Ovis aries: one gene and its partners. The protein of the gene in region 3 interacts with the protein of the main gene of each other region in a pairwise test. Links are inferred from orthologs where the notes say so. Each region holds a gene or a part of one and is shown on either strand. Other genes may lie near its edges.

Evidence for each region.
Region 1: the proteins of MTUS2 (region 3) and CCHCR1 interact in binary tests that used the Homo sapiens proteins (3 or more experiments, as listed by UniProt). The link is inferred for Ovis aries from reciprocal best matches to the Homo sapiens genes MTUS2 and CCHCR1.
Region 2: the proteins of MTUS2 (region 3) and SLC25A6 interact in binary tests that used the Homo sapiens proteins (3 or more experiments, as listed by UniProt). The two-hybrid records come from large-scale screens. The link is inferred for Ovis aries from reciprocal best matches to the Homo sapiens genes MTUS2 and SLC25A6.

What each region holds. Positions count from the first base shown.
Region 1 is NC_056073.1:27,062,997-27,066,740, forward strand, and holds the start of CCHCR1 (coiled-coil alpha-helical rod protein 1), read left to right. Parts: upstream 1-1,494; 5' UTR 1,495-1,687; coding exon 1,688-1,903; intron 1,904-2,200; coding exon 2,201-2,267; intron 2,268-2,345; coding exon 2,346-2,559; intron 2,560-3,744. UniProt on the Homo sapiens protein: May be a regulator of keratinocyte proliferation or differentiation.
Region 2 is NC_056080.1:6,639,111-6,642,854, forward strand, and holds the start of SLC25A6 (ADP/ATP translocase 3), read left to right. Parts: upstream 1-1,484; coding exon 1,485-1,595; intron 1,596-3,283; coding exon 3,284-3,744. UniProt on the Homo sapiens protein: ADP:ATP antiporter that mediates import of ADP into the mitochondrial matrix for ATP synthesis, and export of ATP out to fuel the cell.
Region 3 is NC_056063.1:31,674,475-31,678,218, reverse strand, and holds the start of MTUS2 (microtubule-associated tumor suppressor candidate 2), read left to right. Parts: upstream 1-1,154; 5' UTR 1,155-1,311; intron 1,312-2,326; exon of another isoform or gene 2,327-2,479; intron 2,480-3,744. UniProt on the Homo sapiens protein: Binds microtubules. Together with MAPRE1 may target the microtubule depolymerase KIF2C to the plus-end of microtubules. May regulate the dynamics of microtubules at their growing distal tip.

The sequences.
Region 1 (3,744 bases), on a different chromosome or scaffold from region 3:
TGCACGGAGCCTAGGATGCGATGTAAAATTGGCTGTCAACAGCTTTGCAACGGAAAAAATTTGGTGAAAGTTCCAGTGTAGTGCAAAATAGAAGGCGTCCTGTGGCACGAAGTTGAATCGGATCCTCAGGCCGCAAAATATTCCAGGAGCCTTCAATCTGGGCAAGTCAACAATACATTAGGCAGCTTATAGGGAAATTCGAACTGTAGGTGTGGGGGGGGCGGGGGAGGGGCGCTGCTTCTGTGTGATATACTAACTTGCCTCTTCAGTGTAATTTAGAGATGAGAAGCTTCTTCCTGTCAAACCTGCTTTTCCTAATAGAGTAACCCGCCTGCTAGCTCACGCTTCACTCTTCTAACCAATTCCTCATTCATAACTAGCTAGCTTGACCCCCAGTGGGAAATGTACTCAGTCACCCCTCAAAGGCAGTGCAAACGGGGCTCTACGTTGTCCAACAAAGTGGATCTAAACCCCTGCTTTCTGGTTTCTCCAGGTGGGATAAAAACAGAGGAAAGGGCTTCCCAGGATGATTCAAGACAAATCCAGCCTTTTCCCTCCCCGCCCCAGCCCGGATTCGTATCTACCGCGCTGTGCAGTCTCGGAATGGTTCCCTCTCCAGGTAATGCCAGCCTATGCCGCAGCCCAGGACCTCTCGGGATCGGCCGGGGTTGGTGCTCCTGCGGCTGTTTGACAGCGAAGAAGCCAGGGCCAGGAGGGGCGCGGTCTCCGCGCGCGCGCATCGTCGACCCCGCCTTCGGAATTCCCGGGTCCGGACTTCGAGCGGAGTGAGCGCGTCCCCCGAGCCGTTTCTGATTGGCCATCTCGTTTGCCTTCCTTCTCTCCATTGGGCGACGCGCTGGGATCTCCCGCCTTCCGCGTTTTCTGATTAGTTCACAAGTTTTCCCGGGTTCCCGGAGTTGGGAGGAGCCGCCAGGGCGCGGAGAAACCCCTAACGCCTTAATTGGGCCTGGCTTTAGACACTACTGCGCCTGCGTGCGCCGCTTCCCCGCCTCCTTCCGGAGAGGTAACCCTACAGGCTTAAGAGCGTCCCGCCAACCTGCCCGCTTTGCGCAGGCGCGGCCAGGGATCCAGGCAGCGACCGGGAGCTAGGTGTAGGGGGTGTGGCCAAAGGGCTGTGGGGTCTCTCGCGCTGGGTAAGGGGCATTCGGGAAGAGTCAGTTGGGGGCGGGAAGGGGCTGAGAGGGGGTGCGGGGGTGGGTTCAGGGGTCCACCGGGCGGAGGGGCGTAAGGGCAGGGTAAAGGAACAAATGAGGTGGTCAGAACAGCCTTAGAGCTCAGCGTCCAGCAGGGCGAAGACTCAGGAGGATCTGGGAGAGAGGAGGGAGGGAGTGCAGGCTACTGAGACATGAGAGGGTGAGGGGCCAGCATAATTCCTTCAGGATAAAAGCAAATAGTGATGTAGGGAGGGATAGGGATCCCAGATTGGGAGAAAAATAGATGAATTCGGGTGGGAGGGTGGGGAGATCTTGACAAGCCCTCTCTGCTCTAGGACTCTGGAGAGGCAGGTGGGAGGCAGGAATGGAAGCTGAGGGGACGATAGAGAGAAACTGAGTGGAAAGTTGCTGGCACGGTTTGGATAAGATGTCCGAAACTAGCTGGCTTTTCTGCTAAGGAGTCCAGGCTGCCTGGATTCCCCCAGGGGTTCTGGGGAGGCATTCTGTGCTACATGTGGCCGCATTCATCAGGGGCCAGGCCTTGGGTCAGCGCTCTAATAGGGAAGGACCCGGGAGTCATGGCTTGGTGGTGTCTGGATGGGCTTCCCCAAGGTCTTGGTGAGCCATGGAGAGAACTCTGGAGACTGGGCTCACGGCCCCTGCATCGCATACCTCAATTGTCACCTTCATCCAGGAACTGCAGAGACCATAGAAACTTAAGGAGGAGGGTAAAGGCACTGTCCAGAATTCTAAAAGTATGAGTAAAACTTCACAGCCCCTCAGCCTGTCTCAGTAAATTGTCTCCACCTCATGGCTGTTGCCATAGTCTGTCAGGAACCAGACTGAGACAAGCAAGGGATCTTGGGGTACTTCCTGCTTCTTTTGGGAAGTAGAATAAGAAAAGCTAAGAGTCGGATGGACCTGGCTGTTATTTAAGGATTATGACTTTGTTATTGTAGGGGCTCTCTTTTTGGAAGGAGGCCTGAAAATTGAATTGGAGTGTCTTTGTTTCTCCTATTGTTTAGGGGGGCATAGATGGCTGTACACCGACTCTAGAGACTTCAAATAATGTGGAGATGTTTCGACCTTCAGGTCAGTGGGACCTGGCATGGGGACTGGTGATTGTGTCTCCCTGGAGAACTGAGTACCTTTGTCCTTACGATTCTTTAGGTTCCACTGGGCTGATTCCCCCATCCCACTTCCAAGTTCGGCCCCTTCCAACACTGCCGAGAATGGCTCCCACATGGGCCTCAGACGCTCCCCTGGTCCAGCGCCCAACCCATCAAGATGTTTTAGAGAGGCGGCCAGACAACCAGAGACCTCAAGTTACCATGTGGGAACAGGAAGTTTCTGGCAAAGGGCAGGAACCAGAGTGGAGAGGCAGGTATGGATCTAATGTTACTGTTCTCTTGGGCTTGCTTGCCAATGACCCTTCTTGACTGTAATAGAGTCCTTACCCTCTTTCAACCCTTAGTTCCACAATTTGTTCATTTTTTTTTAGAAGCAATTGTTGGTGTCTACAATGCATAAATAATAGCAGTGTGCTAGATGCTAGGGACAAAGATAACAAAAATAAATAAGATATCCTGATATCAAAGAATTTTAAATCCTAAGGGAAGAAATTGGTTGACCCACAGCTGATTGTACTAAGCGTAGTATAAGGCAGGCTGAAGAAGTGTGGGCTGGGTATACAGACTGGGTGCTGTAGTAGTACGAGTTCATCTGGTGGAGCTGGCCATGCTCTCTGTCAGTGTGTTGTCTGTGAAAATTCTTATTCTTGATGTTTCATGTGAATCTTTTCCCAAATGTACTGGACCATCCGTCTGCCATTTTGTTCCTGAGCAGGATTGCAATTGGGTCTACTTTGGGCCCTGTCAAAGGGAAAGAAGGAGGATGATGAAAGGGGAGCGTGAGAGTGTCAGGGGATGGAGACTCTGTGGCTTGTTTGGCTACCCTCTAGGGGTCCTTTGTCCAGTCACTTAATTTCTGTAGGCTACAGATCCTGTAAAAAGGTGTTGGGGAGTCCAGTGGTTAGGATTCCAGGCTTTCACTGAAGGACACATGTTCAGTCCTTGCTTTGGGATCTAAGATCCCACAAGCTGCATGGCACAGCTGAAAAAAAATTTTTTTACAGTGCTCTGGTTCTGGGCCTCAGTGAGGGAACTGTGTCAAGAATCATCTTATAAGCTGGTTTCAGCTCTCTAGAGGTTGGGACTTTGTGATTTATTGAGATGCTGCCCTCTCAGACTTCTCATGCAGGATATCTAACAGTTAAATAATCTTAACTGGCGTCTGGCCTTGCCATACTGATACTGGAAGCCATCACCTCTCTTTGTACCTCCATCAAACTTTTCCCTGCCCTTAAGTCAGAATTCAGCAGTCTCAGTGTCCTTCAGACTTCTCCAATTCAGAATGTGTAGCCTAATGATGTGGAGAAGACGATAGCACCCCACTCCAGTACTCTTGCCTGGAAAATCCCATGGACGGAGGAGCCTGGTAGGCTGCAGTCCATGGGGTCGCTAAGAGTCGGACATGACTGAGCGACTTCACTTTCACTTTTCACTTTCAT
Region 2 (3,744 bases), on a different chromosome or scaffold from region 3:
AACCTCATATATCGACTTTCCCCCACTGCCGCTTTGGAGCACTCGCTCAGAGCCACCTGAGACGCTGCCTCCCAGGGCTGCAGTCCTCATTTTGCCCCCAATAAAACTTAACTCACAACTCTCAAGTTGCACTTTTTTTTTTTCTTCCACAGTCACAAATGATCAGACACGACTGAGCGAACACTGCATGCGTAAGGCCTTCCAAACATCAAGGTCTCCGGACACGCCTTTGGAGGCAGGGGGCCTATACCGCGGCGTGTGACGTATGCACACACCTGTCGGCGCGTGGGTACGTGCAACAGCTGCATACGTGTGCATGTCTGTAGACACACGTATACACACGTGAGCGTGTCAGTGAGCCTGTGAAACCAACACGCGTGCCCCTGTTCTTCTAGGAGACACCCCCGCCACCCAAGTCGCAGTGCCCGGCTTGACAGGGACACCCCGAGTCTGAGCCCCCGTGGGTCCTGGAAATGCAGCGGGCCCTCCTCCATCCCGGGACCCCCAAATGCACCCAGAGTCATCAGGGTCAGAGCTGGGGGTGCTGGGTCCTCCGGAGGCGCTCTCCTGGGCGGACCCGGGTCTCCCGGGCTGCGCACAGGCAAACCCTACTCCGAAGCCGGGCCGGCCGGGGTTCGGGGCCGTCTCGTACGCTGGGTCAGAACGCACAGACTGCATCGCTCGTCCCGCGGGGCGAGCAGGGGCCTGGAGGGCGCCGGGGGTCATCAGGACCTTTCGGGGCGGCTGGGTGGGGGGGTGGGGGTCGCGGGCGGGACTCGGGGGTCTGCGGCGCGGAGCCGGGGCCCCAATGATCGGACCGGCCAGAGTGGACGAGCCTGGGGACCCGAGCGTCCGGTGCTACGATTGGGAGAAGAGAGGGCGCGGGCCTTCGCAAAGCCCGGCCTGTCCCCTACGCCAGTGTCGTTCGTCGCCGCCGCCAGGCCAAGCATGACCTTGAAAAGGTCAGAGTGGCCGCCACGCAACCCAGCGCGACCCGCCCCGGGCACGCTCGGCGCAGAGGCGGGGCGCGGTTCCCGACATGCCCCGCGGCGAGACGCGCGGGCCAGGGGCGGGGCCTGGGTGGTGGCGCAGCCAATAGGCGCGGCGCACGGGGGCCCCCGGGGCGGGGCGAGGCGCAGCTCCCGGCAGCCCGCGGGAGGCGCGGCGCGCGCCCAGGGGGCGGGGCCGGGGCGGCGGCGCAGCCAATGGGCAAGGCCGTATGGACCCACGGGGCGGGACGAGGCGCCGCTCCCGGCAGGCCGCGCGGGGGCGGTGCGCGCGCCCAGGGGGCGGGGCCCGGGCGGCGGCGCAGCCAATGGGCGCGGCGCGCGGGGGCCGCGGGGCGGGGCGCGGGCCCCTTAGCGGCTGCGCGGTGGCCGCCCTGTCCTTTCGGTCCCGGCGGCGGCAGCGCTGAGCCAGCGGCGCTCACCTTCCGGCTCTCTCTCTGCTTCTCTGCGCCTCCGCTCCGCTCTCCGCCCGCCGCCATGACGGAACAGGCCATCTCCTTCGCCAAGGATTTCCTGGCCGGGGGCATCGCCGCCGCCATCTCCAAGACGGCCGTGGCCCCGATCGAGCGCGTCAAGCTGCTGCTGCAGGTGCGTGTCAGGCTGCTGGCGCGCGGCCGCCGGCGCCGGGCCCCGGGGAGCTCGGGCGCGCGCGCGGCCCCGGGACCGGAAGCGGGGAGGTCGCGCCGCTTTGTCCGCGCGCGGCCGGCCGGGCTGGCTTCCGGGGGGTCGCGTCACGTGGGCACCGCCGCGAGGGAGCGCATGCGCGGGGGGCGCCCGGCGGCGATGTCCGCATTGGGGCGCGGGGCGCCGCATGCGCGTCGGGCGGCCGGCGGCGGCGCCCTCCGCGCCTGCGCACTGGGGGGCTGCAGAGTTGGAGTGCGCATGCGCGGGGGGAGAGCCGCGTGGACGGACCCTGCGAGGCTGTGGGTGGGGTCCCGTCCCCTTGGGCCGTGGACGGGGAAAGATCTTTAGTCTCCGCAGTTGTACTGGTCTTCTTGCCCACTGTTCGCACTTGTTTGCGCGGGTATGAGGTGGAATAAACTGCGCTGGTCTGTTTGGAGCGTCACAAATGGGGAGCCAGTGGAATTAGCGTTGCGATGGGATTGCCACCCTTAAAGAAAATAGGATTCCCCAGGAAGGATGCTAGGAGAGCTTAAAGGCCCCGTGTAAATGTCTTATTAACGACACGTCGGTCGTTGGTGACCTCTGCAGGTGTCAACCGCAAATTGGCGCTTGTGGGCACCTGCTGTTTACCTCTGAAAGCGGTAGTAGTGTCAGTCGTGTCCGACTCTTGCGACCCCATGGACTGTAGCCCTGCCAGGCTGCTCTGTCCATGGGATTCTCCAGGGAAGCATACTGGAATGGGTTGCCATGCCCTCCTTCAGCGGATTTTCCTGACTCAGGGGTGAAACCCGGGTCTCCTGCATTGCAGGGTGATTCTTGACCGTCTGAGCCGTCTCTATGAGTATTGAGTCAGGTGCTGCTGACCTTCAGACCCCGTGAAAGGACCTCAGGGTGGAGAGCAGGAATGAGGCATGCGGGTTCTGGGAAAAAGTGACAGGCCAGGTCATGAGACAGATGTTTCCAGTGGCTGATTGTGAGCCCACTTCTTGCTTGCCCACCTCATGTTTCAGTTCAGTCGCTCAGATGTGTCCGATCATTGCCGACCCCATGGGCTGCAGCACGCCAGGCTTCCCTGTTCATCGTTTAGAAAAGCACTAAAAACTTTTACTGTGACGAGTGCTCCTTGAGGCTCTGAGAAAGGCTCTGCGAGAGTGTGTGCTCGCTCTAGGAACTTCCCATTGACCAGAATCTCATCCAGTCTCACCTCTGGCTCAATCTCTCAGCTATCTGAGCTGCTCTCCCCCGGGGGGTGTAGTCCTCGCCTTGCCCCAGATCGTAACTCGCCACTCTCGGGTCGTGTATTTTTTATAAGTGGCCATGGAGGTCTGCCCTAGGCCCTGGGTGAAGCCCTGTTCCCCCTCACTCCTGCCCCAGGGTGCAGCACGCCAAGCTTCCCTGTCTGTCGTGTGTGAAAAAGCATTAAAAACCTTCACGGTGACGAATGCACCTTGAGACTGTAAGAAACGCTCCGCGAAAATATGTCCTAGCTCGTATGAACTTCTGTTGACCAGAATCCCACCCATACCGACCTTTCCCTCACCTCTTGGAGCAGTCACTCAGAGCTGTCTGAGCTTCACCAGAATCTCCTCTAAGTCTCGGCGGTGTGCCCAGGCCCCCGGTAGAGCCCTGTGTCTCCCTCCGCCGCCCCCCAGGTGCAGCACGCGAGCAAGCAGATCGCGGCCGACAAGCAGTACAAGGGCATCGTGGACTGCATTGTGCGTATCCCCAAGGAGCAGGGCGTGCTGTCCTTCTGGCGGGGCAACCTGGCCAACGTCATCCGCTACTTCCCCACGCAAGCCCTCAACTTCGCTTTCAAGGACAAGTACAAGCAGATCTTCCTGGGGGGCGTGGACAAGCACACGCAGTTCTGGAGGTACTTCGCAGGCAACCTGGCCTCGGGCGGCGCGGCCGGGGCCACCTCCCTGTGCTTCGTCTACCCGCTGGATTTCGCCCGAACCCGCCTGGCGGCCGACGTGGGCAAGTCGGGCAGTGAGCGCGAGTTCAGGGGCCTGGGAGACTGTCTGGTGAAGATCACCAAGTCCGACGGCATCCGCGGGCTGTACCAGGGCTTCAACGTGTCGGTGCAGGGTATCATCATCTACCGCGCCGCCTA
Region 3 (3,744 bases):
GGCTCCTAGATCCCTGGAATTCTCTAGGCAAGAATAGTTAAGTGGGTGGCCATTCCGTTCTCCAGGGGATCTTCTTGACCCAGGGATCGAACCCAGGTCTCCCCCATTGCAGGCAGACTCTTTACCAACTGAGCCACCAAGAAAACACTTCTAATTAGGGCGGGGACAAGCACCCACATTTCATTTTTATAAAGGCAAAGGCTTATCCCACTGACATTTGAACCCGAGGCAGCGGAAGTTCTCTGACCTGGCTCACCTCTTGAAGCCTGCCGCACGAACTGCTTAGGGAAGCCGGGAGCACTTATTTGAGAAATAAATCAACATATTTATTCCCGAGAGGCTCTCTGGCACCCCCTCGACCAGTGTTAGCCGCCTTTGGTGTTTATTAGACACAGATAAACCCGATTCTCGAAAGAAACGCTTGCATTTTTCGCAAACCTTTCCAGAGGTCAACTTGGGGCCCCTCCTGCATCAGGAGTCCCAGTGCCCTCCACGTTTCTCGTGCTGGGTCCCAATTCCTGCTGCAGCTCATACTGGAAGCTGTTCCCAGGGGAGAAGAGCAGACCCCCCCCCCCCCCCTCCTCGAAGCCCCCTGCCCCCGGGGGCGCCGGGACGTCGGGGGGCCGTGGCGGCGCGGAGCCGGAGCAGGACGCCGCGCGCACGGCGGCCCCGGGGCCGGCAGAGGGCGCTGCGGCCTCCCCGGCGGGGCTGCGGGGCTGCGGGGCGCGGGTCCCGGCGTGTGCATCTCGGGGAGGCCCGGACGGGGAGCGCGCCTCTCCGCCCGCCCGCCCGCGCGGTCCCCGCCGCCCGCACCTCTCCGGCCAGGCGCGCGGGTTGCGCGGCGCGCTCCGAGGCCCGCGCTTCGCCGCACCCCCCTCCCATCCCGCTCCGCCGCTTCTCTTTGTCCCGGCAAGGCGGCCGGAGGGGCGGCCGCTGCATCCGTTGGGGGGCTTCAGCCTCCGGGTCCGCGCTACCCCGCCTTCCCCGCGCTCCGAGCCTGGGCGGTGCCGGCGCGGGGTGAGCGCGGGGCGCGAGCGGGCGTGGGCGGGCGGCGGCGGGGACCGCGCGCGGGGGGCGCCCCTGCCTCCTCCGCCCGCGCCGCCGCCGCCGCCGGCTTCTCCCCGCAAGTTTGTGGCCCCCCCACCCACGTCTGCGGACCTGCGCGGCCGCTTGGCCGGGTCTAGACCTGTCGCCAAAGAGGAAAACTCGAGCTGGAGGCGGAGGAGGCGTGCGGGAAGCCAGTCCGCAATGAGCCTCTCCATCAGGGCAGCGTGGCTTCCTGGGCACCTCCCGAGGCTATTTCCCACCCAGGTGAGCGGAATCTCCTCTGTCCCGTCCGGCCGGGTCTGGCGGGGCCCCGGGGCCGGCGCTCTCGGACCCTGCGCGGAGCCGGGGAGCGCCCGCCGCGGGGGCGCTGGGCGGCGCGGGGTTGATTTGGGCTTTTCTGCCATCCGAGCGCTTGTTCTTTCTTGCCTGCATCACCTGCTCCGGCTGAGGTTTTTTTTGCAGCTCCTCCGGCACCTTCGCATGCTGTCAGGTTAAACATCCTCTGTTTTCGAAGGGCTGGTAGGTTGGTTCAACCGAATCCCTACCTCTCTATCCCCCACCCCCACCCCAACAACACCCCCAGCTTTGGATAATTTGTTCTGCCTCTTCGTCTTAATTTAGTATGAATGTGTTATTTCCTTTGAGCTGTGTAATGGTAAAGCAGCGAAGCGGTTTGCTACATCCATTTTTTTTCTCTTTTTTTTTCATTCTGAGCCTGTGCACAGAAGGAATTTCAGGCGCACAAGTGATGTTACTACCATTCTATTTTAAATACAAACACGGAAAGAAGTACTCTTGGCAGGGTACCAAAGGCGCCTGTACTCTCTGTTATATAAGTGCTTTTTAAAAAAATATTTGCTCATTGGTAAAGTTATAAAAGGAATTACCAGAGCATCTCTGAAGAGAGGGTGAAGAGAAGTCAGAGCCACAATTTCTGCTTTAAACCTAAACTTTCCTGGAAGATGAACATGGTCTTAGCTGGAGATAGCCTTAAAGATAACATAGGGCCCTTTCTTTGAACTCATTAGGTAAAATTGTAAAACGTTAAAAAAATAGAACAGTTTTGTAAAGGCTCTTGAGAGACTTGGTGAAAATTCTTGAACCACGTATTGATAGTAATAAAAAAGATCCCACAGATATTCTTTGTGGCTTTTAAACTAGTGACTTATTTTATTTTTTATAGCTGATGGAAACTCAGTAATTATGAGCTGCCAGTTATTAAAGATTTAGATAACCTTTAATATCTCTACTTGTGTTTATGGATATTTTTTTTTTTCAGGGAAGAAGACAGAAGTAGGAATATCAAGTATACTGATGTCTGGGCACTTCCTTTTGTGACCGGCACCTCAGTGTTCTGTTCTAATTGGGTTTTGGTGATGCTGTGATATTTGGAATGTTAAAAACTCCCTAGTGATTCCAATCTGTAGCTGAGGTGAGACCCATAGGATAGCACTGTTTCTTCTAATTTGTCACTTTGTAGCCCAAGGTGTGGCTACAGTGGTTTAAAGAAAGTAAAAAACAAGTGGTTAGAAATATGGGGAGAGAAAAATGGTATAGGAAGGGAGATATGTTGAAGAATTATAGCATGTTCACGTCTGTATTTTGTCAAAATATCTTCTTGATTTTTAAAAAATCCACAAGGAGTAGTTGATATTGTTGTTTAGTTGCTAAATCATGTCTGACTCTGTGCAACTGCATGGACTGCAGCCCGCCAGACTCCTCTGTCCATGGGATTTCCCAAGCAAGAATACTGGAGTGGGTTGCCATTTCCTCCTCCAGGGGATCTTCCCAACTCAGGGATCCAACCTGCGTCTCCTGCGTTGGCAGCTGGGTTCTTTACCACTGAGCCACCAGGGAAGTCCCCCAGTAGTTGATGTTTATCGGGATACATGGTCCCCTGTTGACTAAGTTGGGAAGTGGGACATCTCTCTGTGCAGAAGTGACAGTGACGTTGAGTCGTGGTGTCAAGATACTCCTTTCTGTTTACATGGAAAGACGGTCAAGATTTATTGAAAGATCATTCTTTCTATCACATTCAACACTCATTAAGTGAATACAGACTAGCCAAAAAAGTGCAAAAAAGCTTTTATTGTCTTTAAGTTTGGAAATAAACTTGGCTGCTGAATCAGTGTTTTCTTTCTACCTTATGTAATTTCCCAATATTGCAGTCTAGGGGTGGATCTTATGGGTGGTTTGTGAAGGCTTATGTAAGAGCTGCGACTATGCTTTTCGTATTCTGTGAAACTCCCTGTTTTGGCTATTACATAATTGACACAGTGCTGGATGGGAGAAGCCCAAACAGGGAAAGGATGTACAAGCCCAGCCCAGCACAGGCGCTTTCATAATGAATCGCTGCTGCCAAATTAGAGGGAACAGCAGGGATGGAGGTTTGTGAAAGAGAGATAAGAACAGCGTCCAGAGGACCGATGTAAGAGACGACAGTTCTGCTTAGCGGTTTTCTGGAGATTTTAATGCTGCCGTATTAACCTCTCTAGCCTTTTGTGTCTCCCAGCAGAGGCGCCTTGACGGGGAAGCTAATGAATGTTAAGCTTCAGGGGCCCTTACTCTGGCTCCATCCAAGCCCCCGGGAGGGACACTGGCAGCGTGCTCTCCTGGCCACAGAAGTTTGCATTTGTAATTGTGGATTTTTTTTTTTTTTAATAAGGAAGACACTCTCTGCCTCTCACCTCCCATACG